Linked DNA regions of Coturnix japonica. The main gene of each other region encodes a partner of the protein of the gene in region 3 in a complex. Links are inferred from orthologs where the notes say so. Each region holds a gene or a part of one and is shown on either strand. Other genes may lie near its edges.

The links.
Region 1: the proteins of RGS7 (region 3) and GPR158 are in contact, whole or in part, in a cryo-EM structure (PDB 7SHF), measured with the Homo sapiens proteins. The link is inferred for Coturnix japonica from reciprocal best matches to the Homo sapiens genes RGS7 and GPR158. Residues at the interface, in NP_001351815.1 of Homo sapiens: Gln35, Ile43, Ser55, Arg109, Phe110, Thr112, Pro113, Tyr114, Phe115, Lys134, Thr136, Lys140, Ala141, Arg142, Leu143, Leu145, Ala146, Asp147, Ala150, Leu153, Gln157, Trp164, Phe168, Met169, Gln170, Glu172, Ala173, Gln174, Lys176, Val177; in NP_065803.2 of Homo sapiens: Leu507, Lys508, Phe510, Leu511, Arg513, Thr514, Tyr595, Tyr598, Ala599, Thr602, Val603, Pro604, Ile714, Arg715, Leu718, Lys719, Tyr722, Leu725, Glu726, Tyr728, Lys729, Arg730, Met733, Ile734, Thr735, Asn736, Asn737.
Region 2: the proteins of RGS7 (region 3) and GNB5 are in contact, whole or in part, in a cryo-EM structure (PDB 7EWP), measured with the Homo sapiens proteins. The link is inferred for Coturnix japonica from reciprocal best matches to the Homo sapiens genes RGS7 and GNB5. Residues at the interface, in NP_001351815.1 of Homo sapiens: Pro19, Leu22, Val23, Lys26, Val30, Ile72, Val76, Glu77, His80, Leu81, Leu84, His88, Val207, Asp213, Ile214, Lys215, Lys216, Leu258, Gln261, Ile262, Trp265, Gln266, Gln268, Leu269, Arg271, His272, Arg273, Leu274, Lys275, Met276; in NP_057278.2 of Homo sapiens: Leu57, Glu60, Ala61, Glu62, Leu64, Lys65, Leu68, Glu71, Lys74, Leu75, His76, Asp77, Val78, Glu79, Leu80, Val83, Leu90, Phe93, Arg98, Arg99, Leu109, Lys117, Arg118, Ser134, Phe135, Trp149, Met151, Leu167, Tyr197, Ser206.

What each region holds. Positions count from the first base shown.
Region 1 is NC_029517.1:15,019,809-15,029,273, reverse strand, and holds part of GPR158 (probable G-protein coupled receptor 158), read left to right. Parts: intron 1-5,515; coding exon 5,516-5,618; intron 5,619-9,465. UniProt on the Homo sapiens protein: Metabotropic receptor for glycine that controls synapse formation and function in the brain. Acts as an atypical G-protein coupled receptor that recruits and regulates the RGS7-GNB5 complex instead of activating G proteins.
Region 2 is NC_029525.1:7,754,784-7,764,781, reverse strand, and holds the start of GNB5 (guanine nucleotide-binding protein subunit beta-5), read right to left. Parts: upstream 4,863-9,998; 5' UTR 4,744-4,862; coding exon 4,632-4,743; intron 1,522-4,631; coding exon 1,385-1,521; intron 1-1,384. UniProt on the Homo sapiens protein: Enhances GTPase-activating protein (GAP) activity of regulator of G protein signaling (RGS) proteins, such as RGS7 and RGS9, hence involved in the termination of the signaling initiated by the G protein coupled receptors (GPCRs) by accelerating the GTP hydrolysis on the G-alpha subunits, thereby promoting their inactivation.
Region 3 is NC_029518.1:32,481,847-32,491,311, reverse strand, and holds the end of RGS7 (regulator of G-protein signaling 7), read right to left. Parts: exon of another isoform or gene 4,458-9,465; coding exon of another isoform or gene 4,407-4,457; exon of another isoform or gene 4,268-4,406; coding exon 4,070-4,267; 3' UTR 3,785-4,069; downstream 1-3,784. UniProt on the Homo sapiens protein: GTPase activator component of the RGS7-GNB5 complex that regulates G protein-coupled receptor signaling cascades.

The DNA.
Region 1 (9,465 bases), on a different chromosome or scaffold from region 3:
ATTATCAATTACCAATTGATTATAGTGGCTTTTGTTAGCTTTTGGATGAACTGTAACAAATGCTTTTCCTTTCCAAATAGCTGGGCCAGCAGGCTGTCCACACTGGCAATATTTTAACTCTTTATAAAAAACGGAGGTCTACAAGATGTTCAGCCATGCCTGTCTGTCAGAGGAGCTGTGTGCAATGCCTGTGCACCTCCATTGCTCTTTCCTATTCTGAATGAGTTGTCTTCGTTTAAGCTGCACAATTCTCTCACTGAGTTACTGACCTGGCCTGACTATTCTAGTGTTTCCTACCAGCATTTAGAAGAACATTCAAATGGCTGTTTTTAAAATTGTAAAGAAATAGTTTTTACCAAGGCTTTAAATGTACCAAATGGATTTCATAATGAAGTCATTTGTACTATTGTAGTGGTAATAGAAGTGGAGATAATGGCATTTATTGGCAGAGGTAGAACAATTGTGAAAATTTGATTAAAAATGGTTAACATCAATAAATAATATAAAACTCGTCTGTTTGGCATTTATTTTTTTAGACATTGCAAAATGCTGCTGATTTGTTGATAAGGGAATGTGAATAGGTGAGACAGAGTACTCTGGTCCTCAGAACTTCATCCTTCATGGGGATCAGAAACAAGTGCAGCTTTTTCTTCAGCAGAGGATTTTGGAGATGCCTCTCATTATTTGTCAAGGTTTCTCATGCCTCTGTATAAGTCTAACTTCTGGAACAGTTGCTATTAAGTCACAGATGAATGCGGAAGTAGTTGATAGAACCAGAAGTCCTAAGGACCTACTTGTATTTTGGTGTATTTCTTGGCGGCTTCTGGAAGGTCTGCATGTAACATTTGGCATTTTCAGTATTGCTCATGTGTGAAATACAAAATTGTCCTCACGATAGGAAAAAAGGTTCAGTGTTGAGATAATTCTCTCTAATGCAGATAAGATCATAAGGAAATGCATAAGACTTTATTCTTAGTACTGTTTAATCCATGCTAAGAGTAAAAATGTCTTAATTTGTCATCAGTGTCAGTGCAAGCTGGCCCTGACTGAATGCCTTCAAACTGATCAGTCCGCATTATTTTTATGGCTTTACAATAATCGGTCCCTATGGTGTCTGTTAACATGTCCCCTTGTAATTGCAATGCAGTTTGCACATTCATCAGAAGCAAAGTTTAGTATGTTATAAAATGATATTCAGGTTAATGGTATCAATTCCAATCTGTGTTATAAAGAGATCTTTTATTATTATTTTTGTTTTCCCTCTAAAAGTAGCCTGATTGTAGCCTGCCTGTACGGTACTTTTCGGCTATAATGATAACTCTGTCTTACAGACTGTTATTGCTACAGAACCTGTGAGTGCCCAAGCTATCTCTTTTAATTACTGTGCTTTCATGATCTGGACTGAGAAAGCTTCATCTGTAAGTTGAGGCTGGGTTTTCTATATATATGGCAATTGCTGAAGATGTGTTTTCTAATGCTGAGCCCTCACACCAGGAAACCTGCACACAAACACTAGAACACTTGGCTTTACTCTCTTCTAAGCAAGTTCCTTCAAGTTCCTCAGACACAGAGCCGGGTGACCAAGCTTCTACACACAGCAGAAAAGGGAATTAGAGACTCTGCAAGCAGGAACTTCCAGTAAGGGTAGATGTTGCTCTGAGCGGTCACTGGCATGGGTTGGCCTCAGTTGGACTAGATGACCTTAATGGTCTTTCAAACCTTAATGAATCTGTGATTCCTGCCAGCACTGTGCCCGATTTGACATCAGTATTTCTGCAAATTTGTGATTTACCATTAGTAGCCAAAGTATCCTAATGAAATACATATTGCTAATAGCCTTTTCTGTTTCAAGAGTGTTTTGACTTATAGCTAAGATTAATAATAGCTTTCATGATCATATGTAGTTTCTAATTACTAGTGTGAATGGGCTGCAACTCCTTACTATCACTGCTTACACTGGTGCTATAGCTGAACAAAATCAGAATTAAGAGCATTAATAACATTAAAAAGCAGCGTGGAGTTTTTAGCAAAGCTAAAAAATCATCAGTTACTCACCTGTGACAAATATTTTCCCGATGCCTGCCTTTGCTGCAAGCTGAATCAGATCAGCTATTGCTTTGTCTGACTCAGGATTTAAGCAATTCACCATCATTATAGTAAGTACGTCATTGCTGGGAAACACATTCTCAAATTTGAATTTTATTAAAAGAAAGATCTACAGTGATGCACTTGGGAGAGAGGATAAGAGTTATGGGAGCCTACCAAGTTACCCTGAAATGCAGGATATGGATTGACCGGCTCTATCATTTCCTTTTGAAATAAAATGCATTTGAAGACAAGAAGCTTGTGAGTAGCATTGTTAGACCAGAGGCAAACTGCTGACTCCCAGGTGTGTACACAAGGCCAGGGATGCTGCAGACTTCTGAGGAGGCTACAAACACATCTCAGAATGAAATCTTGCTCATGGTGGGTAAATGAAGAGAGCAAATATAGTGGTTAAATCCTTTTCAATGAAAAAAAAACACCTGTTACTGACTCCAGTGAACAAAATTTTACTCTATCTGTCTTCTCTTGTTCCTTTCCCCATGTGACTGCGCCTGACAGTGCAGTAAGCAGTGGGAAAGGAGCCCCCACGCTCTGGCAGCACTCCTACCCACTCCAGCTGTAGTCATGGGCCAGCACAAACCAACCCTTACTTTTACAAGATCTTCCAGAAATTGCACCCGTGCTGCCCTATGCCACTGCAGGGAGTGATTTGATTTGTCATGCTTCTGTTAAACTTTATCTGTCATGGCTTTACTTTACTCTCACTCCAGTCTTTGAACAAGGAGTTGACTTTAGGCGAGGCAGTCATCCTTATCATGTATGCATGCAGAAATACAGATTCTGAAAGCTGCTCTTGTGCTTTGAAAAATTTGAAATATTCAAAGTCAAGGCTGGCCGCGTTTTTAGTGTGTGGTGTTTTTTTTCTCTTCCCCTAATACTCTGCAGAGCCTTAGGAGGACTAAGATCTCCGTAATGCTTAATAACTTGTAAATCAGTTTCAAAAAGAGGGAGGTTTTTTACAAGTATTTCCCCCCCTTTTGGCCATATGATATTCTTCCCTGCCTTGTTGCTGCAATTTCTATAAAAAGAAACCAACACAGCAACAACAAAACAAAACACAACAAATAACCTGTAAATAGCTCTATTTACATTCAACGTTTGTAGTCTCTGAGTACAGTGTAAAACTGTTACTGCTTTCTGGAGGGATCCAGGCTCGCTTTTTCTCCTCCTCTCCTTTCAACAGATTGATCTTCTGATGCCTTTTATGCCTTTCATGGGATTATATGGACTGCCTGACATAGATTTTGACCAGCAGTTCTTAAGTTGTACACTGCAGCTGCCAAGGACTGGAAGCAAGAATAATATCTTACATCAAAGAAGACAGCAGTTTTTGAAATACTCTGCTCATTTTCAAGTTCTGTACTGGTTAGGAACGATAAAACAGAAAAGTTATGAACTGCTGTTAATATGAGTATAGGATGTATGTGAAAGAATCATCGGTAAAAAGTGTTCATTTTAATACAGAGCAGATTTATGAGCCTGTGACACCTCTTTAGTGAAGATTTTGTGCAGTGAGAATGTATTGTGGCTGTGGTCCTGGTGTGCTGTGGTGTTTGCAGGGCTCAGCCGAAGCTCGCTCTTTTCTTTGTTGGCTTCAGAATGAAACTGTGTTATCTACAGCAGCGTGTACCTTCATGTTATAAAGGAAGAAGCCAGAAAGCACGAACAGAATTTTCCCCTGAAATACATTTCCTGAAGCACAATGACTGAAAGGTGCTGGAGATGACAGAATTCACTCATTCTTTCTCCTTCTTTAGCTTCTTCTTTTGTGCTTGGCTAAAAGAGGCTTTGTTGTCATTGGATTTACGCATTTTGATTTCTCCAATTCTCCACCTTGTCAGCAGTCTCCTTTCTGCAGAAGATGAAGTGAGAAGAAAAATGATTTGGGCCTTCTCTTTGCTTTTTTCCCTGCTTTCATGTTTACACAGGCTGAATGAATTTTTGGTGTTTATTCTTGCTGGTTTCCTGCTTGCTTGTTTCCCAGTAGCACCTGCCAATCTGCACTGATGTACCGTGTTTGGCACTGTGAATGTGGAAAGAGACGGCTCTGCCCACTTGAGGGCAAGAAAAGCCAGGTGGCTTTCTCAGTGCTGGGCAGGATTATGTCACAAAACTGAAATTCAAGATAAATACTTGAGTTTTCCTTAAGTACTCTCTTGGTTTGCCTTTGATTTTTGAAACTCAGATCTTCTTTTTATTAAGCCCTGCCTTCTGCACCTTCCTCCCAGCCACAGGCAGGCAGAGATTTAAACACCCTGAAGTCAAAGTCAGGTGCAAGCAAGTGAAATTGGGGGCAGAATTGAGAGGGCAGAAGGTCCTTTTCTTATATCATTCAGTTTTTCCTTGAGGAAATATGACTGTGTACTTCATATTTACAGCAGTAAATTGGTACCTGTGTGTTTGTACCTATACTGATGGGACGGGTATCTAGCGCGGTAGCCTACTTTTATCTGGTAAAATGATGTATGCATTACTGGGGAGAAATCATTTTACCAGCATTTATGATTTCATTACTGCCAAACCCTTTTCACTGTGCTGGTCACAGCCTATTTCTTGTACAGTATTGGTCTGACAGTAGATGTTCTGACATTGTCATAAATTTGCTGTTCGTCTTCATGTTGGAAATAGCAAAAATGAATCTGAGTTAAAGCAAAACTTGTCTCATATGTTACTTCCTTGAAAAGGGGCAATGGAACTCAGAAGTATGTGGCTCCCGCTCATTACCTTTTTGCTGTCATTGACCTTGATCAGGTTTAGGCCACAGTCATTTTGTTTAACCAGTTGCTGTCTTTGTTTTGACTTTGTAAATCTCAACCAATTTATGGTTGCCAGTCAGGGGGTCTGCCCTGATCCCAGCCTTTCTTGCTGCCTGCAGAAGGTGGGCCACAGACATCCACGCTGTTCCATGCTGTGTGAGCCCCAGCCCTCTGAGCCCCCTCTGTTCTGCTGGTGAGGGTTTGGAGGCCAGAACAGATGTAGCTTAGTGTGCTTGGAGCTGTGCTCTGCAGGCACTACCTGAGATAGATGTGTCCCCTGGCTCAGCACATGTTTGAGGTGGGATTTGGGGCTGGGACTTAGTTATAGGCCTGTTCTCAACTGTACTGTGGATGTAGCCTGCTAACTGTGTCCCGCTTCACATGGACAGAAGTCTGTCTGGCACTTATTTGAATTGTCATGGGAAAGGTTGTTTTATAACTGTGCTGTTTCCTAGTAATTAACTGCAAGGAAAAAAAGCAGAGTGATATATGGCTGTGGGAAAAGTCACGGAGAAGATACTGTTAAGACTGGCAGGGGCACTTCTTCGAAGTCTGCACACTGTATCTTGTAATGTTTTTCTTATGCTTGAATGTACATTGAGTATATCATTGTATGATCATTTGCATTACTTTTCTTTTTTCTTTTCTCACAGTGCTTGCCAATTAAAGGTCTTGGATTTGTGCTTGGAGCCTACAAATGTATTTGCAAGGAGGGATTCTATCATCCCAACATCTTTTCAGTGAACAGCTTTCAGAGTAAGTGCCTTTGCTTGAGTTAGGGGGGAAAAAAGCATAGAGAGCATTAATAATGCAGGGCTCCTTTTTATCCTAGTCAGGGTTATACAGTGAAATCCCAGTGGTTTGCAACTCTCAGATTATATAATCACTTAAGGAGTTCTAGCTCTTTGGTTTGTCATTTGTGATACTCTTGAGGATCCTGTAAAACATACCCACTTTAAGAATATTTGATTCATAAATAAATTTAAAAATATGAAAAGAAGTCTTGCTATAAGGAAGTAAAGATTCCTGGCATCTATATTCAAGCAAAAGTATTGAGAAATTTAATTTACCAGTTTCTTCCTTCCTTAGGGCAAACTGGAATGCTCTGGCCTCTGGTTTTGTAAGTGCTTTAATTGTTTTAATTTTACTTCATGTTCAGAGGAGAATCTAAAGGAGCACATTCAAGCTCTAATTCTTACAAATGGGGAATTAGAGATGGGTCAGCTCTGAGAGTCTGCCTGGTGGTACAGCATGGAAGACATGCAGCCTATGCTTTCTGGAAAGCACAGTGTTTGGTACTTGGATTGCGTTAAGGGAAGTAAGGAAACAGAACATGTAAAGAAGCCGTCTCCAAAGGTGCTGTCTATTACTTTCACTGTATGAAAGTATGACCACCAAGATATAATCACTGTGCTAAAATTGTTGCAGTTATACTAATACAGTATACACTGCAGTCACAAGTGTAAAAGTATTGCTTGAAGGTGTAATGGGGCATTCTGCTTTGCCTCCTACTTTGCTAGTGAATCCCTTCCCCAGAATCTTTGCTTTTGCTTTCTTATTTAAAAAGTGTTGGTGATTTTAGGTGAAAGATGTATAGCTTTTTAACATCAGGAAAGCTTTTGAATTTCATGTTTATTTGCAGTCATGAGTCCCATAAATGTATTCATTCTGTGTCAGAGGATGACCCATTTTAATTGATCTGATCTGGTCTGAGAATAAACTGACTAAGATATCTCACCCCTAATAGTCTATATTAGATTTCCTGTAAATATATATTGCATAAGTAGCACATTGTTTAGTCAGAAATTTACTCGGTGAGCATTTGTTTCCCTTTTCGTATTGTGGAATGTTGTAGAAGTCACCCTTATGATAGTGTTCTTTTTTTCTCTGAGCTGTATGAATCTTTTAGTAGTGTAAGAATGATGCTTGGTTGCTCCTGTGGTGCAGTGAGTTATGATGGAACTGGGATTTAACTCTTTGAATGAGCATATTAAAAAAAATCGTTCTTAGATTTTTATCATACCAAACGCAAAAAAAATGCAGAAAAATTATGACTAGAGATGATAACAGCACTGATCATAAGGGATGGGATTCTTATGATCTTATATCAGCTGTCTAAAGTGCAGATGCATGACATGTATTAGTCATCTTGGTTTCCACTGTAGTCAGTAGGGAGAGCATGGCTCCCCTGGAGAGTAGCCTTGCTGCTTTGGAAACTCGTCTTTAGATGGAGGAATTAACTCTTCATGCAAATAACCCCTTTTCTCTGTGTGCGAAAGAAGGAGGAGCCAACATGGCAAACTTAGGTCAGAAATTTTGCTTTTAAATAACTTACACTTAAATTTTCTCACTGAAGTGTTTGCATATGCTGACATTTAAGGTCTCAGAGTTAGATGATCTGGGACTTCTTTGATTTGTCCATGTGTTGCTGTGAGTTAACGTGAGCGTGAGGTTAGGAAAAGTCATTAACAAAGAACTGCTTTTAATTGTACCAGATGCAGCTCTGGTTGCCACACTGTATAGATGATTTCAGAATGTGAGCAGTAAGACTGATAGTGGAAGTAACTGTGGAGTAATGACAGAAAAAACTGGTTCAAGGGAACTTAGCCCTGTCATCCAACTGCATTCTGTAAGAATTAAAAATGGTTAAAATTTCTAAACTGTATATTTGGAGATTCAAACTGATACCAATGCAGGGATTCTAGACATGAATACTACAAGTAATTTTGACAGAAACTGTCTGACCTGACAATCTTTGTGTGGAATTAGGTTGGTGAGGCCTGATAAGAGAGATGTAACTGAGTGGAAATGTTAATGGTTTAAGAAATATTCCTGGAAGATTAGAATCAAGAGGCAAGTAAGTTTTGCAGGTCTCAAGATAAGATGTAAATAGGTAAGTGGGTAGGAAAACTGATCACTTTTGTACTTCCATGAATTGAAAAATTGAATTCAGTGCATTGTATCTTGAAATGGAAGCATTTCTCAGTAATGTTGGGATTCTGCAACAAAATATGTTTAACAGCAGTTGCGCATTGTGTCTGAAGTGACAGAGTTTTAAGTTCTAATCAAGGTTCTCTTTAGGTCCAGATGAGTGTTTGGGCTGAGTCTGAAAGGCAGCGGTACAAAATGGCTTTGCAGGGATGTTTGACAGGCTATGCAGTTTGCTCAGCAGGCAGGCTTCAAAGATTGCTCGTCTGCCTTCTCAGCAAACTCAGCTGGAGACCTGAACACTGAGATGCAATGTTGCATAAACATTGTCCTCAGTAGGAAAGATTCTGCTTTTCTAACTTAAAGAATACAGTTTTGCTGCTCCCCAGGAGGTTGCACATTTCATGCTGCAGGCTCCAGAACTGTGTGTGGCTCAGGGGTTGAAATTTGTACCATTCTTTAACTGATGAGGAAGTCAGGTAGGAGAGCTGTTTTCCTTCCAAAGCTGAGTTTGGACTTCAGAACTGGTAGTGCCAAAATATGTAGAACCTCTCTCTTTTCTGCTGAACTGGTTAATGAGGACCCTTAGTACTAACAAGGCACAGAGTTACTGATGTATTTCGTGTGTCTTTTTTTATCAGCTTTCAAGGTTGCACTTTTAAGAAATATAGAACATAAAGTTTATGACCATAACGGATTTTCAAGCCATATTCATGTAGGGTTTGTGACTCAATCTCATCAGAAACTGATTTTAGAAAAAGATATGTGAAAAATCATACAAGTTGCATTAACCTGTAATTGCTTGAGTACAAGATTATGCACTTTCTCCTAATGGCTCACTTTGAGGAAGCAGTATTAGTATTAGTAGAATAGATTAATTTATGAATACATACATTTTAACATTTTCATAGCAGTCATCTCCAAGCACTTAGTTCTCTGCCTCACAGGTTAATCACTTTTGCATTGGAATATCCTTAGTAGAACTTTGGTGCTTTATTCAACCTAAAATTGGATTCTTCAACAATAATTTATTGCAGAGATTCCCCTCAGCTCTTGCTTTTTGGATGTGGAATCTACTCAGAAAAAGGTGCTTGTACACCTCTCGTGTCTTAGTACGGGACTTAATTTGTCTAGCAGTGCTATGTCCCCAGTCCCAGGAGAGCTCTCCAGTTCAGCTTCTCCAAAGAGAAATCCAAAGTCTTCATAAAAATAAATGCCAGCCTGTTCTCACTGCAGGATTTGTGAGAGAAGCCTTTCTCTAAAAGCAAGGAGGACATGGCTGCTGGAACAGCACACCAAACAAGCAGACTGGGGTATATGACTGCTCTGTGCCCTTCTGAAGCTTTGCCTGCCAGAAGATGTGTGTTCCTGCACATTCATACATACATTTGAGAAAAAAAAGAAGCAATTACCCATGTATATAACTTTCAGTTTCAAATGTTTTAAGTGAAAAGCCTGAAGAGAGTTTGAAACGCCAATGTGCATATGTGAAACATCACTGAAATACTCTGTCTCTTGAATTAAGACTAGATAACGTGGGATTTACTAACATCACTGCTGGAGAAGGAGAGTTTTGATCAAAAATGTTGGGTCAATTCTCTAGTCTTGTGAAAAACAAGAGGGGCTATCATGGTTTTTAAAACACCATTTATTTGCCTTCAGCCATATTCTCTGG
Region 2 (9,998 bases), on a different chromosome or scaffold from region 3:
GTTTATGAGAACTTGTTTTGTCTGCTCAACAAAGTCAGAACAGAACCACCTCAAGAAGTCATTGCTAGCGAGTGCTCACCTGCCTCCTTTCAGCCACAACGTGTTTCCCCCAGCCTGCAATCACCATCTGCAAAACCAGACACTTCTCCCATGTAAAACCTGTTGGTGGCTCAGTCCAAGGCCTTACAAATACAAGAGGTGACCTGTATTTCAAGTCATTTTCCCAACAGGGAACATGCACAGAATCATTTATGGATACTGCAGTGTTTATTCATCTTCCTTTCCTGTCTTTTTCTATTTTCCTCTTTACTTCTTGCTACACTTACTTCAATTATCCACTGTTACAATCAGCTAAATAGCAATTGTAACAACACTCCACTGAGAATAACATACACTTTATGTATGCCAGCAACAATCAAGCCAGTAACTTTGCCTTAAGTGCATCATATTGGTTGTCCTTCCAGCTTCGTGAAACTGAAATGTTTATTGGTAAGTAGGAATTGTTGCTATATCTGGACTCGTGTCAGTTCTTAGAAATGGAGACAAAACGCATTACAACTTTACTGTTTAGCTTTCTGATTTACACAGTGGCATTTTAACTACTAAAAAAAAACAAAACAACCAAACCCGTCACATTAATTATTTAAACTTTGATTCTCTTTGCTAAAATCACCATGAATGGTAAAAAACTCACAGTAACTGAAGGTGGCTTGCAATGCAGATTGCCTATTTTTATCCCTCTGGTGAGACCCCTGACAGATTTCATATAGGTCAATGAACAGCTGTGTGATGCAGCGAGCTCACTCACTGCCATACTGGGCGCATGATGAACCAGGGGATCTAGAAAGTAATTATCTTATTACCTCCTACAGCTCATGAAACTGGTCTTGAGCAGGTGGTAGGACAGTTTCTCAAAATGCCCAAGTAAATGCAGTAGCTTTGGCAGATTGTTTGAGGCTTTTAAGGGCATACAAGATTGTGGAAGAAACGTTTGCACACAGGAATCTCTGGAAGAATTAATATCGCTTTCCTTCCCTTTTCCTGATTGGTTTTTGTTAACACATCAAGTGAAATCATTACTGAACATTAAGTCTGTAAAGACCAAGGCAATAAAATTATGAATTTGCCTCAGATGAATTCTTTCTATTTTTTTTAGCAGTAGGGAAAAAAATGACTGCAGAAGTGACATTTCGGGTATTAGTATGTAGTTATGCTCAGATTTGTGCTCTCTGAACAAATACGCTGCAATATACAGCTTTAAAGGCATACTGAAAACATGTACATTGTGCAAAGGTATCATTTGAAAAGGGCAGCACATAGTACAGCTAAAAGATCAGTATAATTCCCAACGTTGTCTTTGAAGAACACCCGCCCAGTGGCATACCTGGGAAGAGCTCACAATTCTTCTTTTGTCTTTGCACCAGTCCATACAGAGAACTTTGTTTCCATGGCCCTTCAGGGTCCTCCTGGTCTTCATCACAAACTGGCCTAATGCCTCCACACGCTCTGCCACCTGATGAACTGCAAACAGCTGATGGTTAGGGAACCTTGCATTGAAATTGTGCCACAGAAAGACTCTGCATGTGTGAGTAATGTCACTTGGAGGAATTAATCCAAGAAACACGAGCCTATATGCAAGCCAAAAGGTCTGCCTTAGAACTGGCAGGTGATAAAACCAAGGTGGGAGGTGTATGAATATATCTACCAAAAAAAGATATGGATGCACTCAGTCACAGATTGAATTCCAGGACTGTAGCAGCTGAAGCACTTGCACGCTATCATTCCCAAGCATAACTGGAAAATCAATTACTCACCCCCTTTCCTCCCTCTCACTGTCTGAGGAAAACCCTCAGGCTGGCTGTGGCTTGAAAGAGCATCCCCAGCCTCACCCACACCCTGAGGTGCTCAACAGAACCGAAGATCACTGCTGTGTCTTGGAGGAACAAATCATACAAAGAAGGGGATAAGCATCAAATCTCAGAAGTTTTCACTGTAAAACATTTGTTCTGCATGTGAGACTCAGTGTGATACAGCTACCAGAGACTTCTTGTCATGCCATCCCCACTTGATGCCCAAGGGCCAAGACACAGCTCCAACTGAGCAGGGAAATGAAGGAGATCAGAGGGCCAGAACACCTCTCCTGTGAAGAAACTCTGAGGGTGTTGGGCTTGGAGAAGGCTACAGGGAGACCTCATTGCAGCTTTCCTCTGCTTGAAGGGAGCCTGCCAGCAGGAGAGAGATTATTACAGGGGAAGATAGTGACAGGAAAAGGGGGAATGACTTAAAACTAAAAGAGGGGAGATTTAGGTTAGATGTTAGTCCTGCTTAGAGCTGTGGGTGCCCCATCTCTGGAGGTGCATGAGGCCAGGCTGGGTAGACACTGGGCAGCCTGATTTGGTGGGTGGCAGCACAGCAGGAGAGTTGTAACTGGATGGGCATTAATGTCCTTTCCAATGTAGGCCATTCTATGATAATGGGATCCAGTGCTACCTCATGTCATGTTTGTCCATAATGAAATATAAGACAACACAGCTGCTGCTAGCTAAGGGCACAATACCTGACTCGAATCTTTAGAAATAAATGCAGAAGCTCACACACTTCAATGAGCTGGCAGATGAAATGTTAAGCTTTTCAGAGCCTTGCTAGAGGCTGAGGTCCACGCTGTGTGGGATGGGTGAGTGCTCTAGAGCAACGTTGCTGCTTTACTCTGTCACTTTTCTAGAGCACCTGCAGGTGTCCTTCACTTTGAGATCAATCCCTGGCACAGGGTCAGGGGAGAAATTTCTGCCTAAGGCAGGGGCTGATTTCAAGCAGTTTAGATTTTCAAGTCTTTCAAAACCATCAGCCCTATGGGCTGTGCCAGAGCAATGCTCTGCCTGAAATCTCTGCTTGCTCAGCCTCTCCCAGCCTGGGGCCAAGTGCTGCCCACCATCCTCAACCATCTGACCCCACTATTTCCAATGAGAGGTCAGAAACAAGTTTCTGATTAGTATCCTATAGGCTTACTCAAGAAAAGGTACATTTTCCCCCTATATTTGCCCACTGACACCTGCTCAGTAATCCAATCAGAAGACACGAATGCACGGGACAGGAGGTTATTATGGCAGCTGGAAAGACGCTTGAGTCCAGAACATATCTGAAAAAACAAACATTTCACAGACAATAGCAAAGTCTTTCCATTATGTCAACACAACTGAGACTCTGTGGAATTGTCTGGTTTGGCTTTTACGTTCAGTGAGGACGCTTATCTCCAGCCACAGCCATAATAAAGCTGTACCCGCCTAGCACAGGTTTCAGAGTCAGATAATCATTTTGAAGCGTTCCCTGACATTGTTTCAGGATAGTTGAAAATTATGCACTCAGACAAACAGATCAGCTGCAGCCAGTAATTAGCCTGAGTGGTTTTACAAAGGTCCAGATAAAACATGCTATTTTTATAGAGCATATGGTTTGGCCCAACAGGAAGTGGGGATTTGATGCAGATACCACCGGGTCTTTGATCTTTTCTGTGCTGGAAGTCCTAATGGTATCTCTGGCCTTAAAAAGTTATGGCTCACGTGAACAGGACAAGCTGTTTTATTTATACCCCACATTTTAAGTGAGAGAACCGAATCCCTGAATCTGTAACACTGTGGCTCAAATGCACGTTTGGTATTTCCCCTTTCTGTCCATGTTTCTGAGAGCTGCTGTTCCAAACCCACTGAACAAATAAGGGCAGTACCAGTTCAGCCAGATGTTTGTTTTGGGAGCCACAGAGGGAGGGTCATGAACAGAGGGAAAAAATGCAAAAGATACATTTTTAGATTAAAAAGAGAGAGAGAGAGATGCCTTATTTTGTTATTTATAACCTCTGCAGAAATCGCTCTTGGGGATAACTGGAACACAAAATAAACACTCTGATATAGAATTGACTGGGAGGAAGCACTGCCCTACATGAGCATAAGGACATGGAAACCATGACACGGCCAACGTAAGTTACAGATTTTACGTGTGAGAAAAGAGGTAAATATCCTACAACTGCAACGTCATGTCCTTTACAGCATCACTCCAACCGTGGGTGAAACTGCTTTCCTGAGCAAAGGTGGATTTAAGCGTATGCCAAAGGGGTCTGTCAAAGAGAGGCCCCACTGCTACTGATACGGCAGTGGTGCTGTATGGATGTGACGATTTATGGTAATGTTTCTGTAATGAGGCCATCTCCCTTTGCTTAATGACTCCTATTGATAGGGCGTAAATTATGACCGTCAAATTCAGACCAGAAAATCCCCTATTTACTGCAGACCAAAAAAAAATAAAACATGAGTCCCTTTTAACCCTCCCACAGCTGCTATTCAGCAGCTCTTTAGGAAACAAAAATTGAAGGGGCCGCCTTCAATCTTTGTTCCCGTCCCTGAGATGCGCGTTGTAACGCCGGGAGCGGAGCTCCGGGCCCGGCGCTGCGGAACCCCGGGGCCTCCCCCGCCGCCCCCTGCGGGCACGGAGCCGTCCGTCACGGCGCCCCCCGGCCGCATCCCCGAGCACGGTCCGGCCGCTCCTCTTCCCCTCCCGGCCCTGCCCGCTCCCTTCCGCCCGTTGCTGCCCGACCCGGCCAGGCCGCTCTCCCCTCCGCCCCGCAGCCCGGCCCCGCTCACGCTCCACGTCGTGCAGCTTGGCCCGCTCCTCCTCCAGCTTCCCCTTTAGGCTCTCCGCCTCGTTCTTCAGCGAAGCCAACGTCTCGTTCTCGTGCAGACCCTCGGTTGCCATCTTTGCAAAGGAAGCGGCGAAAGACAGATGAGAGGGAGGGAGGAGGAGTTTGTTGCCCGGCTCTCAGGGATGCTCGGAGGCTCCTGCTGCCTCAGCAACGCTCCGCGGCCGGGCCCCCCCACCCCCCCACCCCCGCACGCTGCCGCCCCGCAGCACGGCGGTCCCCTGCTGCAGGTGCACCCAGCCCTGCCCGCTGCCACAGCTCAGCAATACATGGCAGCGGGGTGATGCTGTGTGCCAGAATGAATCTGTACCGCAACTTTGCACGCTCTGTTGAGGGAAGGATGTCATCTTCCTAGACTTCAGCAAAGCCTTTGACTGTATCCAGCGGCATTAATGTGGAGAAGCCCCTACAGAGGGACCCGGACCGCCGGGCTGAGGCGAACTGCGTGCACTGCAGCAAGAGCAGGTCCTGCATGTTGGTCATAGCAACCCCATGCTCTGCTGCAGGTTTGGGGCAAACTGGATGAAAGCTGCACAGTGGAGAAGGATTAGCAGACTGTGCTGGAACATGGACCAGCAGTGTGCCCAGGTGGCCAAAAAGACCAATGGCATCCTGGCTTGTGCCAGAGATAGTGACTGTCCCTGTACACTGGCACTGGTGAGGCCACAACTCCAGTGATATGTCTGGTTTTGGCCCCTCTCTGCAAGAAAGACATCGAGGCTCTGGAGTGTGTCCAGAGAAGGGTAATAAAGCTGAGAAGGGCCTGGAGAGTGGCTTTCCCAGCCCTCAAAAGGGACCAGTTTCCAAAAGTCCAGAAAGGGACAAAGAAGCCCCCAGCCTGGTCTTATTGTGAGCATGGGGCACAGCTCCACACCCCAGCAGCCTCTGCTCACAGGTCTATGGGAAGCATGTACTCTGGACTCAAAGTAACTATAACATTTCCAGAGAAAGGACTGTGCCAAACTGCCTTGCAACTCTCTGTTCCCTGGGAATTCCTTGAAAACGTCCTCTTTTTTCAGCAATTGTCCTTAATCTACATGGAGTAACTTTGCTCATTCTGACTCCCATTGTCTCCCTTTCACCAGAACACAGACAATCCAACAGCTATTGTTCAACCTGGAGAAGTTCCAAGATTGGAAAGGGAGATAATAAAGTAAGGGTTTGCAGCTGTTGTTTGGACTCAGGGCACATCCTGGACACTGTACTGGAGAAAATGAGTCCTTTCCCACACTGGCTTAGCAGCGGTGCCACTGCCCAACTGGGACACACAGGCAGAGCTGCTGAGCTTCCCACTGTCACCATGGAGGTGGATTTCAGGCCTAGATCTGGTCCTGTGCTCCAACAGGGAAGTGTCTCCAGAGCAGAGCTGTAGAAGTGTGTGACACATGGAATATATTTTGTGCACCTAAGTTAGGTAACACTATCATTAGCTAACCACGCAAAATAATCCAAACAAATTAGAGTAAGGCCATTTGGGAGTTTCAAATAAAGCAGGTTTGGGTCATTTTAATGGATAACATTCTACCGTATCAACTTCCAAAGAAAAAATGTTACCATTTAAGAAGCAATCAAATATTTTCATTCCACCCTTTTCATAAAATCTAACCGTACTGAAGGTGATATACCTTTTTTTTTTTAGTTGTATACAACTTCTTACCACAATATTAGAGCTGACCACATTTAATCTGACATAGCAGCTCAGTCTGCAGCAGTAGATAAAATATAGGTCCTCCTAGTTTGTGTTCTGATTTCAGGCGAGTTTCAGAACACATCAGCACAGGCCAAAATGCTGTGAAAACATCCTGTATGGAAGGTATGGCATGTGGACAGCGTGGAAAAGCAGCAACTGGGCTTTGTAATGTCATTTTCCATTAATGATGCAGTAATGGCTGGTATTTAATTTCTTTTTTGCTGTCACTTTGTACTGACCACCAGCAGTGCAAATGAGAAGCTACAAAAGGTCTGTCCAGTTGCACAACACATTATGCACACCCATGCACAAACACCTGCCTGGCAAGGACACACTGTGCACTGTGACATACACCAAAGGACACCCACAGCTCTGAAAAACCAGTCTGAAAAAAGGATGCTGCTTCCAAGCTGTATGTATTTCACTATTGGTGCAAAGAGCTGTGTTTGTTTTTTGGTTTTTGTGGGGGTTTTTTATATATATAAAATAAATATGTAGAAGAAAGCTAAATCCAGATCTACAAGAAAGGCTGGGATCGTACTGCAGTGCTAATACAGTGCCTAACAGGCTGTTAGGGATGGAGGCAATTCCTCCTGAAGTCTCAGTCTGTTTCCACTTAGCAGCTGTTTCTGGTGGTAACAGTCTAACTTCCACATTGCAAATGATAAGGAGAAAGTTACAGTAACTGTACATAGCAACCAGCCAGTTTCCTGCTATGACAGTGTGCACTAACCAAGTCATGCAAAAATGTACCAGATAAATCACTATTTATAGGCTGCTGGCCAAGAAAGACCTGAGCAAAGCAGCAGCTTCAAAGGCATTAGAAGAGAATAAACAGAGAAGAAACCATCTTTTGTCTTGCAGTCACTACATCTGAATTTCTTTCTTGACAACGTGACAAATGACTGTACTGCACACATCTGCAGTCACCACATCAGTGCTCTCATCTGCCCCTTTTACTGTATTTTCCAGTCACAGCTAGTTAATACTTCTAGCATTCCTACAGAGATCACTTCACCTGATGCTCAAATATAACACTCTGTATTGAAAGCTGTTCAGTTATGGTCACAACCAGTTCTGGGGAAGGAGAGGGGAAAGGTATCTATAAATGCTGCTACACTATTGTTCAGGAGGATGAAATAGTTACTCCAAGTTGGAGTATAATCAGGACAATGAAATCCCTAAGTTTGCAAAAGCAGTTTTGGAAATAAGCTCTTCAGTCGCCATGTAAGTACCTGAGCTTTGTATCTAACTACAAAAAACTAAAACAAAAACAACTGTGACCACATTGGGACGGTGTTTCCTACCAGGAGAGTGGGTTATCACCTCACCACTAACTGCTGAAGATTAAGAAGTCTCCATCATCATTCCTTCTTCATACAGGTTTTCTGGCAGGACCTTCTGTGGTGGTACACACACAGAAGAGCCACCCCTGCTATGCAGCCTTTCCTCGCTGTATCCTCATTGCAGCTACCTACAACTCCCTCAGACTCCACACCCGAGTACTGCAGGTAGCATGCCAGACAACAAGGTTTCAGCCTGGAGTGGGCCATGCACAGAGCACTCCAGTTCTGTGTCTGAGGAGAGCTGCAACAGTTCGACTGACCCCAATCTGCCAGTCTTTGCTGAGTCAGCTTGTTGCAAAAGTTTTGTCTTTTTAATGTGTTGTTTAAGGGAGACAGTCAAGATCATAGGCTAAGCAGACTCACACACATATACCTCAGAGCCCTGTTTGGACAGGCACATAACACGTGCATAGCTAAGGAATGCAGTGCCCTAGGGAAAAGAATCTCATGGCCACTTTCCAATCAAGAATCAAAAAACATATCCTTGAACCCAGGGTCACATCTGTTTCAGGCTTATGGAATAACATCAAGTGTTTGCAGAGGTGTCGACTTGAATTAGAAGTGGCCAACCTTCAGGCCTAGCAATGCTTGCTTCTGTCCAGAAAAATCCAACACAATGGACTATTAATACATCCAACCTCTACTTTTTGCAGTCTTTTCACATTCCAGATGATATAATCAATAACATACCATTTCCACACATAGTGAGCAGTAGCTGAGCTGTTCTGATTTGATGTAAACAGCCCGAAGGGGCTTCTCTTTGGAGCACTTGTCACACGGACCAAATACAATCGCTAAAAAGGTCTGGTCACACATCGCTGCGGTGCGAGAGAGCTGTAAGAGAGAAGAAAGAAAGAGTTTGCTCCAGTGCAGTACAAAGCTTCCTGCTGCTGCTCCGGTAGCTGATGCAGCTTAGACAGCATATAGATAGCTGGAGGCTGGATAATCTCTCTGACTAATCTTTTGAGCTTAATGAACAGTCACTGCGTGCAAGGCAGTCACATGATCTACAGATAAGAATTTTAGAAAGAAAAAGCAAAATATGTATTCTGCTGTAATGAGCACTGACTGCGCACTGACTAATGACATGCATGACATGCAGATCCTTAGCTTTCATGTAACTAATGCCATTAGACAGTGACTAGAAACACCCAGCAGCTGGATTTATGAGAAATCTGATCAATATTTGTGTTTTTGTTTTTTTTCCCCCACTGTATTATTAAATAGTCAATATTACGTATGATATATGAGTTCGGATTCAGTTGGCAGCCATACATTTCACACAATGTTCTGCTTGAGCAGAAAGTGATGATCTGGCACAATGTAGGCTGGGTCATTATGAACCCCGTTTTTGTTCTCAAGCCAGGCATCACTGTGATCAGAGCACGATCATCAAAGGAGAATTAGAAACTCCTTGAGTCAGAAAAACAAACAATATCATCGTGTCAATCTCCTCCTTACACTTTCCATGGGAAAAAATGTAGTATTTCCCAGGTTTTAAATGAAAACTTTTAAAATTATGTAGATAATTTATCAGTATTTAGCCAAAAGCACAGATAATGAGTTTATGGTTAAGAAAGGAAGCTATTAAAAAGGGAAGCAAAGTAAATGGAATGAACTACGCAGATTTCAGAATGTGTTTGGCTGGATGTACGTAAAAACATAATAACAATTTATTCTGTGCAGTTGTCTCTGTTCAGCTACTTATCCTGACGTATTTCAGTGCTGGAAACAGGAGATGACGAACTCAGAAATCCTGTCAAGTCATCAGAAGTTTGTCTGTTATCTCCAGGAGTTGTGTAACTTCATCCCAAAGTATGCATGAAGAAATCTGCCCTGACACAAACTACATCACATTAATCTCAAATCCACACAGAGCTTCCAACCAGCTATATGCAACCAGGAGTTATTATCCCATTGGATAAAAAACAACAAATATGCCCTGAAGCTTTTAATCCATTCTTCTGCAAACAGTGAGCCCAAGTCCCCAAGTTGCTACCCTTTCAGGGACCTTCCCCGTAGTAGTTTTTCCTAATAGAGTTGAAGTGTCTACAACAGCAGGGCTCAACTGTGCTACATCCTTAAATCTGGATTACAGGCTTTTTAAAAGTTAAATTAGAAGTAAAAAAACATTAACAGATATGCTACAATGAATCTGGTTGATGAATACCCCAAATCACCTACCTTTTCCAACTGCAAGAACCTGGAGATTCTCAAGATGAGCAAAGAAGCTGTGTGCAACTGCCACGCAGATGGACAACCTCCCTATTAAGGC
Region 3 (9,465 bases):
GCTGTCCTCTGTAAAATCTCCATAATGTCTCCAATCTGGAGGAGGGCAAAGGAGTCAGCCCACATCAGTAAGGAGTTATCCCTTTGGAAACACTGAAAGAGGCTGCAGCATTGCAGTGGCCATTTCCACATTTGAGCAATGATGGAGAGGACATTTTATTATAGTCAATGTAGCAGTCTCATAAAAAACTAAAGGGATAAACTGGAACAAAGAAGATTTTATTGGGCTTCTTCAGAATATCTTTAACGTGAAGGAGGCAAAAGCATTAATCTGTTCAGCCTAGTCAGATCAAAAGACAAATCAGAACTATTCAGCAACACACTTAAATGAATTATGGACATAGAACATGTTCAAATAAACTTTTGGCAATCTCCCTTGAACATCATGGGATTAAAATCTTATTTTAGAAAGGTTCCTGTAGCTATTAAATTCCCTTTAGCAAATTTTCTATGTTTTATGTACTTAAGTTAGTAAGTTCAGTGGTACTGGTTCTATGCATGATATCTCTAGATAGAAAGGAAATTAAAAATATGGTAATTTTAAAGTCTAAATTCAAATAGCTGTTAATAACTTGGCATAAAGATAAATAAATGGAAGAGCCACAAAAAAATCCCTGACGATTCCCAACTGTTACTTAAATAAAACAGCCTTCTCTCACTTCAGTCATTTGCTTTGGCTTTCATTCATATTTTTAATAAGTAAATATCCTAAATGCATTCCTGTAGTTCTTATTTTCTGGAGCTCTTTTTTGCTCTCCTATTTGTTATTTGTTGGAGGACTACCTGGCATTTATGCCTTACAATTTCAAATAACATTAAGGGTGCAGTTTGAACAAAGCGATTCCATATATTTGGTATTAAGAGCTTTCTTTCAGAAGAAAAATGTCTGAAGGAGCAGCCGCAGCTGGTGCTGTTGGATGGTTTCTGCTGGCAGCCCTGCCTGGTGCTGGCGTCTCACCAGCGGCATGCTGCCTCTCCAGCACCCAACTGCTCTGTGCATGAGTTCTCCTCCCTCATCAGTTCCGTTCTGGTCACCGCAATTAATTTTCATTTCTTTCTTTTGTCCTCACTTTCAGCTCATTAATTTTTGGCCAGTCTCCATGGCTTTTTCAGCTCAGCATTTTGCTCCTTCTCCCTTCCCTCTTTAAGGCCTTTTCCTTCCCTTTTTGATCTCATAGGTTCGGTGAGAAGCTTTTAATGGCAACTTACACAAGGTCTGACATCTGTTCTGCTGTTCTCAGGTCAAGCAGTCCCTTTAAAGAAAATCAGGATGGTCCCAGCCACCTCAGGAGGTGCTGACTGATGACTCTCCCCATAAGGACAGCCTCTTCCCTTTGGGTTTCTCCCTTGGTCCTTATTTTTCCTCAGCAGAATTAAGACCTCACTGGACTTCCTAATGGATACACCACTGTGAAACCAAAGCTATACTTCGTCTGCTTGGTGGTTGCCACAGTAAGAACAAATAAGCCTTGCCCTTGGTTAATCTTAATTTACAGAAGCGGATTTTCATAATGTTTGGGAAAAAAAACAACTGTCTTTTCTCAGTGGGGATGTAAAAATATATCATGCCTACCAGGAGTTTCCATTCCCACTGTGGCAGCACTGACAGATGACAGTGGAGGGACGAAGAGATCTCAAATAAAGGCTTTAAAAATCAACTTGCTGCAGAGAAGGTTTTGTTTGATTTTCTTTTTCAGCCAAATTCACTCACAGATAACAGTAGAGTTGCATCACTTGAAACACAGGCTCAAATGAAACATCAATAGAGCTACCTGGCTACTTTAAAATCCTTTAAATGTATACTTTAACCTTATAGCCATTGTGTTAATTTCTGTGCAAATATAGGAAAAGACTGCTATTCAGTATAAGCTTCATATCTACTGAGGCAAAAGAAGAACTAGAATAAAATGGGCCTAGGGATATAAATAATCTGCGTATTTTTATTGTCCAGACAATGTTGCAAAAGGCTTTGAGAAGAAATAACCACCATAATTTCCTTAGGGTAAAGTTGTATGAAATATTCAATGCAAGAATCTGAAGTGTTAGTTATTCGATGGGAATGATTCTTCAAAGCAGACACTGGTATCTAATTAGTTAAATCCTAAGGAAAAGCAGGCAGTATACCAGCTGATGCAATCGGTGGCAGCAGGAGTTGGGAAATAAATATCTCTATTTGGCACTGAGAAGTGAAGCAGAGCTCAAATTTCTGTGGATATCCTGGCCCCAAGTTCATGCCTCAGAGCTCTCATTTCTGCAGTAAAGGAAAATTAAATCTCAGAGTTTAAGATCTGGGGTTCAGTGTGACTATTTATTAGAATTCATCTAGCCTCCCTAGACTGAATATTTTGACTTGACCTAGATGGAGCTCTTGATAAAATCAAGCTCTCATGGGCATTACCAGTGTTCTGTGATAAAACTCAGCTCGGAAGCATTGTGCTGACAGAAACTGCAACACTTTAATGCAGTGATTATTATCCTAGTTAGAAACCAGAAACACTGCAGCATGTGAAAACAAAGAACAACAACAACAAAAACAACAACACAATTCCCTTCTCCCAGATCTCAACCAAGTAAATAGCAGGGGGGTAGCCATTCAAGGTGATGAACAATCTGTTTGTTCTTGGGTTTATTCATACCGTTTCTCTGGGGATGCTGCAGTCAGGGTTACAGCAGCTCAGCTCCCTTCTGCCCTCAGCAGCCCTGTCCCAGCGGCAGTAACGCAGGTAGGCATCTGGTGCTGACTGAGATGAATCCAGCACTAATCTATTCTAATGTACTGCTGGATTGTGTCTACAGCCAGCTTGCTTTGTGTCAGGAATGGGGGAGGTGGGGAGAATTATGACATTTTTAGGTTTAGTAGTCCCTCTGCAACAAGATCTCTGTTTATCAATATCACACAAAAGTGAGTACAGCAGATGGTACCAGCTCTGGCTGTCCTGAGCCAGTCCTGTGCAAGGCTAAAAAGGATCTTTCAGTACATTTGTCCTACACACCATCTAATGTCCTGGAGCTATTTGTCATTTGCCTTAGTTCATGCCACTGCTTTTCTACTCAGAGATTCTGCCACTGTCTCTAAATCAGATATTCGGTGAAAGTGCAGCTTCTCTTCTGCAAGCAGGGATATTATGGCTTTAGCTCCATTTAGCATCAGAAGGCTCTATATCCATTGTCTCATGGACAATGCCTACAAGCTCCTGTGAAACTATGAGTAGGTCTCTCAGGTGAATATCAGTATTAGACACAAATACAACAGCACATGTGAACTGAGCTCCTGAATTAAAATTGCATGTTTCTTCATTTTCAACCCCAGGTTTGAGCTCTAGTCTCAGCACTTCCAAACCACCGTTTCAGCTTAAAATGTTGCACTGCGGCACGCATGACGGCAAGGAGAAAGAAATGGTGACATATTTAGCAAAAGCATACTCATGTTCTCAGCCAGACTTGATCATGTCCATTCCTAAGAAAATGCAGTTCAGTTGATCTGCTCTTGGACAGCAACTGAATCGCTGAGCAGACTGTGTAGACTGCACCATTACAGCTAGCTTAAAGAAAAGTTTGCTTATGTGATGATGAGCAAGCTGGAAAGGTCTCACTGCTGCTAGCTTGCTAAAAAGAAAATGAAGAGTAAATGATTGTCAATAAAGTGTGTTTGGTTAGGTGTCACTCAGAGAAAGAAAATGCCATTTCATGTCACTTTTTAGAAAGCACAAGGTATGTAACTTTTGGGAATGGCTTTGCTCTTGACTAATCTTCCGATTTAGTATTAAAATCTCAAACTTCCCAAAGGAAAGAGACTCTGCATATTTTAATGAAAGATAAAACAACAATATAAACATACACAAATTTACAGAGGAAGGATCAACTTTAATACATCTGGAGTAAAAGGTGTTCTTTTTTAAATATGGTATAAAAATAAATGCAAGAAACATTAACAGAGAATATACAGACAACAGACAAAGACACAGGCTTTCTTTCTCAATGTGAATACATCAGTGAAATGAAACCTTCTGTGCTAATTTATTGTGCAATAAATGTGATGCCATATGTATATTTATTAATATATGCATTTTTTACATATCTTCCAGTTTTTGATTGACGTATTTTTTTTTTAAATAAACTGTGCCTAGCAGAAGCTTTTTTTTCACTGTACTTGAGCTTGCAGAAAATAAAAAGACACAGATCCAGCTTGATATGAAGGAGGAAGTGAGCAGACAGTTTTCGAAATGGAGGCATCGAAAGGCTAGAGAGTCCCTCGGAGTCTGTAATGCCTTAGTATACACAAAAGAAAACAAGTCAGGTCCTTGCTCATGCAACATCTTGTTCTACTGTCCTCTGATTCAGGCAATCAGTGAGCTACAAAGTATGTATAATGATTTGAGTCTGCTTCCATGCTACAAGGTGATCCTTTTAGTAGGACTGCACTAGACTGGTTAACCTCTTTGATGTGAGCGATTTCCCCTGAGGAAAAGATAAAAACAAAAAACAAAAACAGAAAACAGAGGCATGATCACTGCAAACCTGTTCATCAGCAACCACTCAGTGTTGCCACATCACTGTCAAATATCTAGGGGCACCAACTGGAGTCTGTCAAATCTTAAACCACAGGAAGCCCTGACACTTGCACACCTGCACTGCCAGCCAGCCATTCTGTTTCAGAGCGTAATCCAGCAAATTCAAAGGCCAGTTTTGAATGAGATGGGGTTTGGCTGTTAAGAAACTACTGCTGAGGGTTTTGCTGTTGGTCTCTCCCAGAACTACTTGAAGGTGGCCACCAGAAGTGAGGGTGCCTCGTGCTACTGCAATGTGCACACTCTAGTAGCTCCATCAGATTGCAGAAAGCTACTTTACAGTTCAAGTAAGAAAGTAAGAGGCAGATGGCATACAGGCAGGAAAGCAGCTTTTCCATGAAATTTGCAATAGACTTGCTGAGACTGCATATAATATTTATGAGGAGTATTGGTCAGGTATGTTACATAGAACTACCTAACACTGCATAGAAGGTGTTTGGATTTTCACATTGTATTTTTCCTCATCAGTTCTCCTGTTGCAGGAATGCTGTTTCAGTTTTTTTCAGAAGTTGTGTCCCCCAAGAGTTAGATGTACAGTGCAGGTAGGATAGTGTGGATATGTTGTGATGGCATATTTCAGGCAGACTTGAGCTTTAGCTGAGCCAGACAAAAGCCACAAAACCACACAAGATGTCAGTTAGCTCTCCTCAGGCCATCCTGCTGTGGCACCAATTCAGCAGAGGCAGAGCTGGCACAGCAAGCTTACAGCACTTCTCAATACACCACAGGGATACCCTGATAACATACCATAAATGGTTCATAAAAATAAAAAAGTAAAAGGTTCTATCCAACTTGTCATTTAAAGGATATTTAATATTTACATCTATTGCATTGTTCATTTTAATATCAAACTGACTTCAAAGAGACTCAGTAAGAAATGTAACTGTGAAGAGAGGACTTCTGCAGTAAATGGTAAATAAACTTATTCTGCCTTATCAATGATCTGTTAAGTAATCTGTTGTACTGTAACTCTGTGGAATGTCTGTTTGCAAGCTGGTTTTGAACATTTGCTTACATGCAATATTCCAGAATGGGTCTTGACAAAAAGAATAGCCATTTTACTCTTCGTGCTCTGAAATAAATGTCATACAGATGAAGGTGGATTTTCCCCCTACAGTGTAATCTTGAAGGGAAATAATGGTCTGTAATGTTGAATTAGATTCCTCATCTCTCAAGTTCACCATATTGCCTGACAGTAATAGCGCTTGCTTCTTAGAAAGACAGCATATCTCCTTCTAGGCATAGTCTTCTCCCTTTATCTAGCTGTAACTCTATGAATTTCTACCTACATTAAATTCAGCATTTTGGCACTAGTTTAGCCTTGAATTATGTTCTCCCATGATGTGGTAAGTAAGCTGTTCACACCACTAAGCTAAACACTTTTTAGATAACCAAAAAGCTTCCACAGCTACATGGCAGTGGACTACTACAATTTAAGACGGTATGCCCAAATTTATTAAGTGATTTTAGAGGTGATGCAGGGTTGTCAGTCTTGGACATAATCTAAGAAAATATTCAGCAAATGCTGATCTATACTTCTCATGGAGATTTTTGTGCTTAATTTTGCAGGCCTACATGCTTGGCTACTTTTTATAACTATGTAGGAGTTCCATGGGGTATGGAACTGTCTAAAAATGAATTCTCTCTGGTGGTTTCTATTAGTTATTAGAACAGTTCCCTCAGTAACACACTGGAAGGCAACACATGCACACTGGGGGGATAAAAACTGTGAATTAATTTTGTCTTCTCATCTGCAACAGCCAATTCTCTGGGCGTTGTAATTCCATGGAATTTTGAGATGAACCATTCTGGCATCTCTGGAATGAACTGTGATATTGCATAAAGTAGGAATTTTGGATCTAAGCATGGGCAAAAAACTATACATTCATGAGTTGATCTGACTTGATAACCTTATTCTATGTATTAACTGAAATTTTCCCTATAGATGCATTAAGATGTCATGAAAATTTTGTTATTTGGCATCACTTCCTCCCTGGTTACTGCTCACCACAGTAAGCTGAAAGACTTCGGATAGTTTTTCTCCTAATTTAAGGATTTCTCTGGATGACTTATTCTCCACCTTCCCTCTCCAGAGATTAATCTGATTTTTATTTGAGGTATAATGTTAATTACATTTCCATAAGCCAAATTTGGTCAATTATAACAAATGGGCAAGTTCTAAAACGTGTGGCATATGACTAATCACACATAGGAAAATGTCTGCTGTGCTTGCAAGATTAAAGAACATTCAAAAACAAATTCTGAAGTACTGGATTTTCATCTGAAGAAGGAAAAGGAGATCTTTACTATTTTTATTGTATTCTTGCCATCAACATGCAGGAGTATAGGGCCAAATTCTAAACAAGAGAAGGATTTTTGTCTTTTAGGTTTAATTTGGACATACAAATTGAAACAATTTAACAATTTTATGATAGCTCACCAGCCAAATGAAGCCTTGTGTACATATGCAAATGACCTTTAGAAACCCCTTCCAACTCTAAGGATTCTATGATACTGTGATTCTGTATCCCAACAAGGGAGTCAGAGTACAAGTAGGCTGCAGAGCAGCTGGAGTGAGTCAATTACATCGATGAAAACCAAATAACTGACCTCAGTATTCTCTCACCTACCTTAATGTATTAACTTCTTAAATGCAGAGTTGTCCTTCCAACTGTACTTTTAGAGAGCTTGGGGGAAAATTACAGAAGTATGTGCAGATTTATGAGCAACAAATATGCTGACTGACCTATTTATGTAGCTGGACACTCACAGCTTAGATAATCTGGCAAGTCAGTCAGCAATAACTTCAATTCATATGTGACATAAGAAACCAATGTGAAATTTATATAGGGACAAGAGTTGAAATATATGAAGGTTAAGAGATTAGTTTTTGAATTATTTTTCTTTCTGCTAAGCAACTTCAGTGACTCCTTTTTCAAGTTTCTTGATTGTCCCCAGGACTCATACTTCAAGCTGGTAGAACTAGAAAGGGAAACTCCACATCCAAAAGGGAGAATGGCATGAACCCTATTTGGGTCAAAATGAGACAAAATGAGGATTGGCTCTCACCATTCCTGATCTGCTCGTGTGTGGCATACACGCTGAACGCCAGCAGCTTGGCCAGCATCAGCAGGCAAAGTTCCCAGGTGACATCCCTGGTGCCACACACAGTGCTGAGATAAACAGCCCCTGGCAGGAGCACATCTGGAAAGGCACAGGAGCAGAAACAGTAAGTCTCTAGCCAGGATTTAGCCAGCCCTCGCTCCTCTAAGGCAAGCAAATGCAAATGAATTTAGCATTGCCTAGAGAGTCAGGATTTTGCTTTGATTTTCATCCAGCTGTGCTAGCGTATTTCTCTTTCAGGAAGGTGATGAAGAGGAGGAGGTTAGCATTTACTCAATTTAGGGGCCTATAGTGGGTATTTCAGTCCTTTCCTAATTTTGCACTGTGTCTGTTCCCTGTCCTGGAGCAGTTCATAGACAAAAAGCAGTGTCTGAGCAATTGCATATTCTTGGCATGTTCCAAACTGGGTGATACTCCCTCTTTCTCCTTCCCTGGTAATCTGCATATTCTGATGAGCTGCACTAATTTGTGCTTAACCAACAAGCTCTTGCCAGATGGGATAGTTTAAACTCAAAAAGCCAGTGAAAGGATGGGATAAAATCTAAGATTTTCTAAGATGCCAATGACACCATGTGCCATGACAGGTAGTTTGCTTTGGTATCATTCTGTATTTCTCAGTCTTCCAGTAGCTCAGTACACAGGCAAATATTTGTCAGCTGGGAAATGGCAGTCACTGTCCTAGTACCTGAATGGGAGTGCTCTGTTTCCTAATGGAGACAGACCCAGCTGTTGCCAGCAGCCCCTCTGCCCCAGCAAAAAACAAGGCAGCTCAGCTCATCATTGCAGAACTGGGCAAGGAGGCAAACCTTCACTGGTATCTCCTAAGGATTCTCCTTTTGATTTTTCTCATTAAGCTGAGCATCATTCCTCAAAAACAACCTAGATTTTTAGACTAATTATTAGTCTAAACTCAAAATTTCAATTATTATTATCATTGTTATTTTTCCATTAAGTCATTTCTTTTCTAAAAAAGAGAAAGTTCATTTCTATAATAATTTGTTATTTTTAGGTGAGGGGTTTTTTTTGTTTTGTTTTTTGATCTTTCAAAGCTTTGTGGTTTTTTTCTGACATACTGTTTTTCTTCCATGTTTTAAGAATAAACCTGTAAGCAAATTTCAAAAGTCTAACAAGGAAAACTTCCATGACTGCACTTTCCATAACTGAACAAAAGGTCCTACAGCTGGTAATGCATTAAAGCTTGTTCAAAATGCTATTCTCCAGAAAAATATAGCCCATTCTTGGATTTCAGAGCCAAGTGGACTTCTGGTCTGGCCCCCAGGTATGTAAAAAGTTGTTTTATCTGTCCAGAGAAAAATTTATTGGCTAATGGGAAATTCATATCTGCATTGTTTCTCAGTGAAGGGACAGTTCTTAACATGGCAACATCAATTTAAATATCTGTAAAGTTTATACCCCACTGAAAAGAAATGAGGAAGCTATTTTAAAGAGTTTTAATTTCCACTTCTAGACCATAATTTTCAGTTTTTCATATTAAGTTACACTGGACATTGGATTGCGAATGTATGCTGTGTTCCGTGGCCTTCATATTTCTTATCTCATGCATTAAATAGTCTAATGTTACTAGTTTGGAGAGGAAAATCCTCAAAGGAAACTGGTAAGCAAGTTCTAAGCTAAGTGGAAGCAGACAGCTGGAAAGAGCACAGGTAATGTAAGATATAGTGGTTTTAAATTCAGTGTTATTAAATGGGGTTCTTGCTTATGAGGCTACAAGTGAAGATATCATTTGATGACTCTGATTTAATAAATGAACTGAG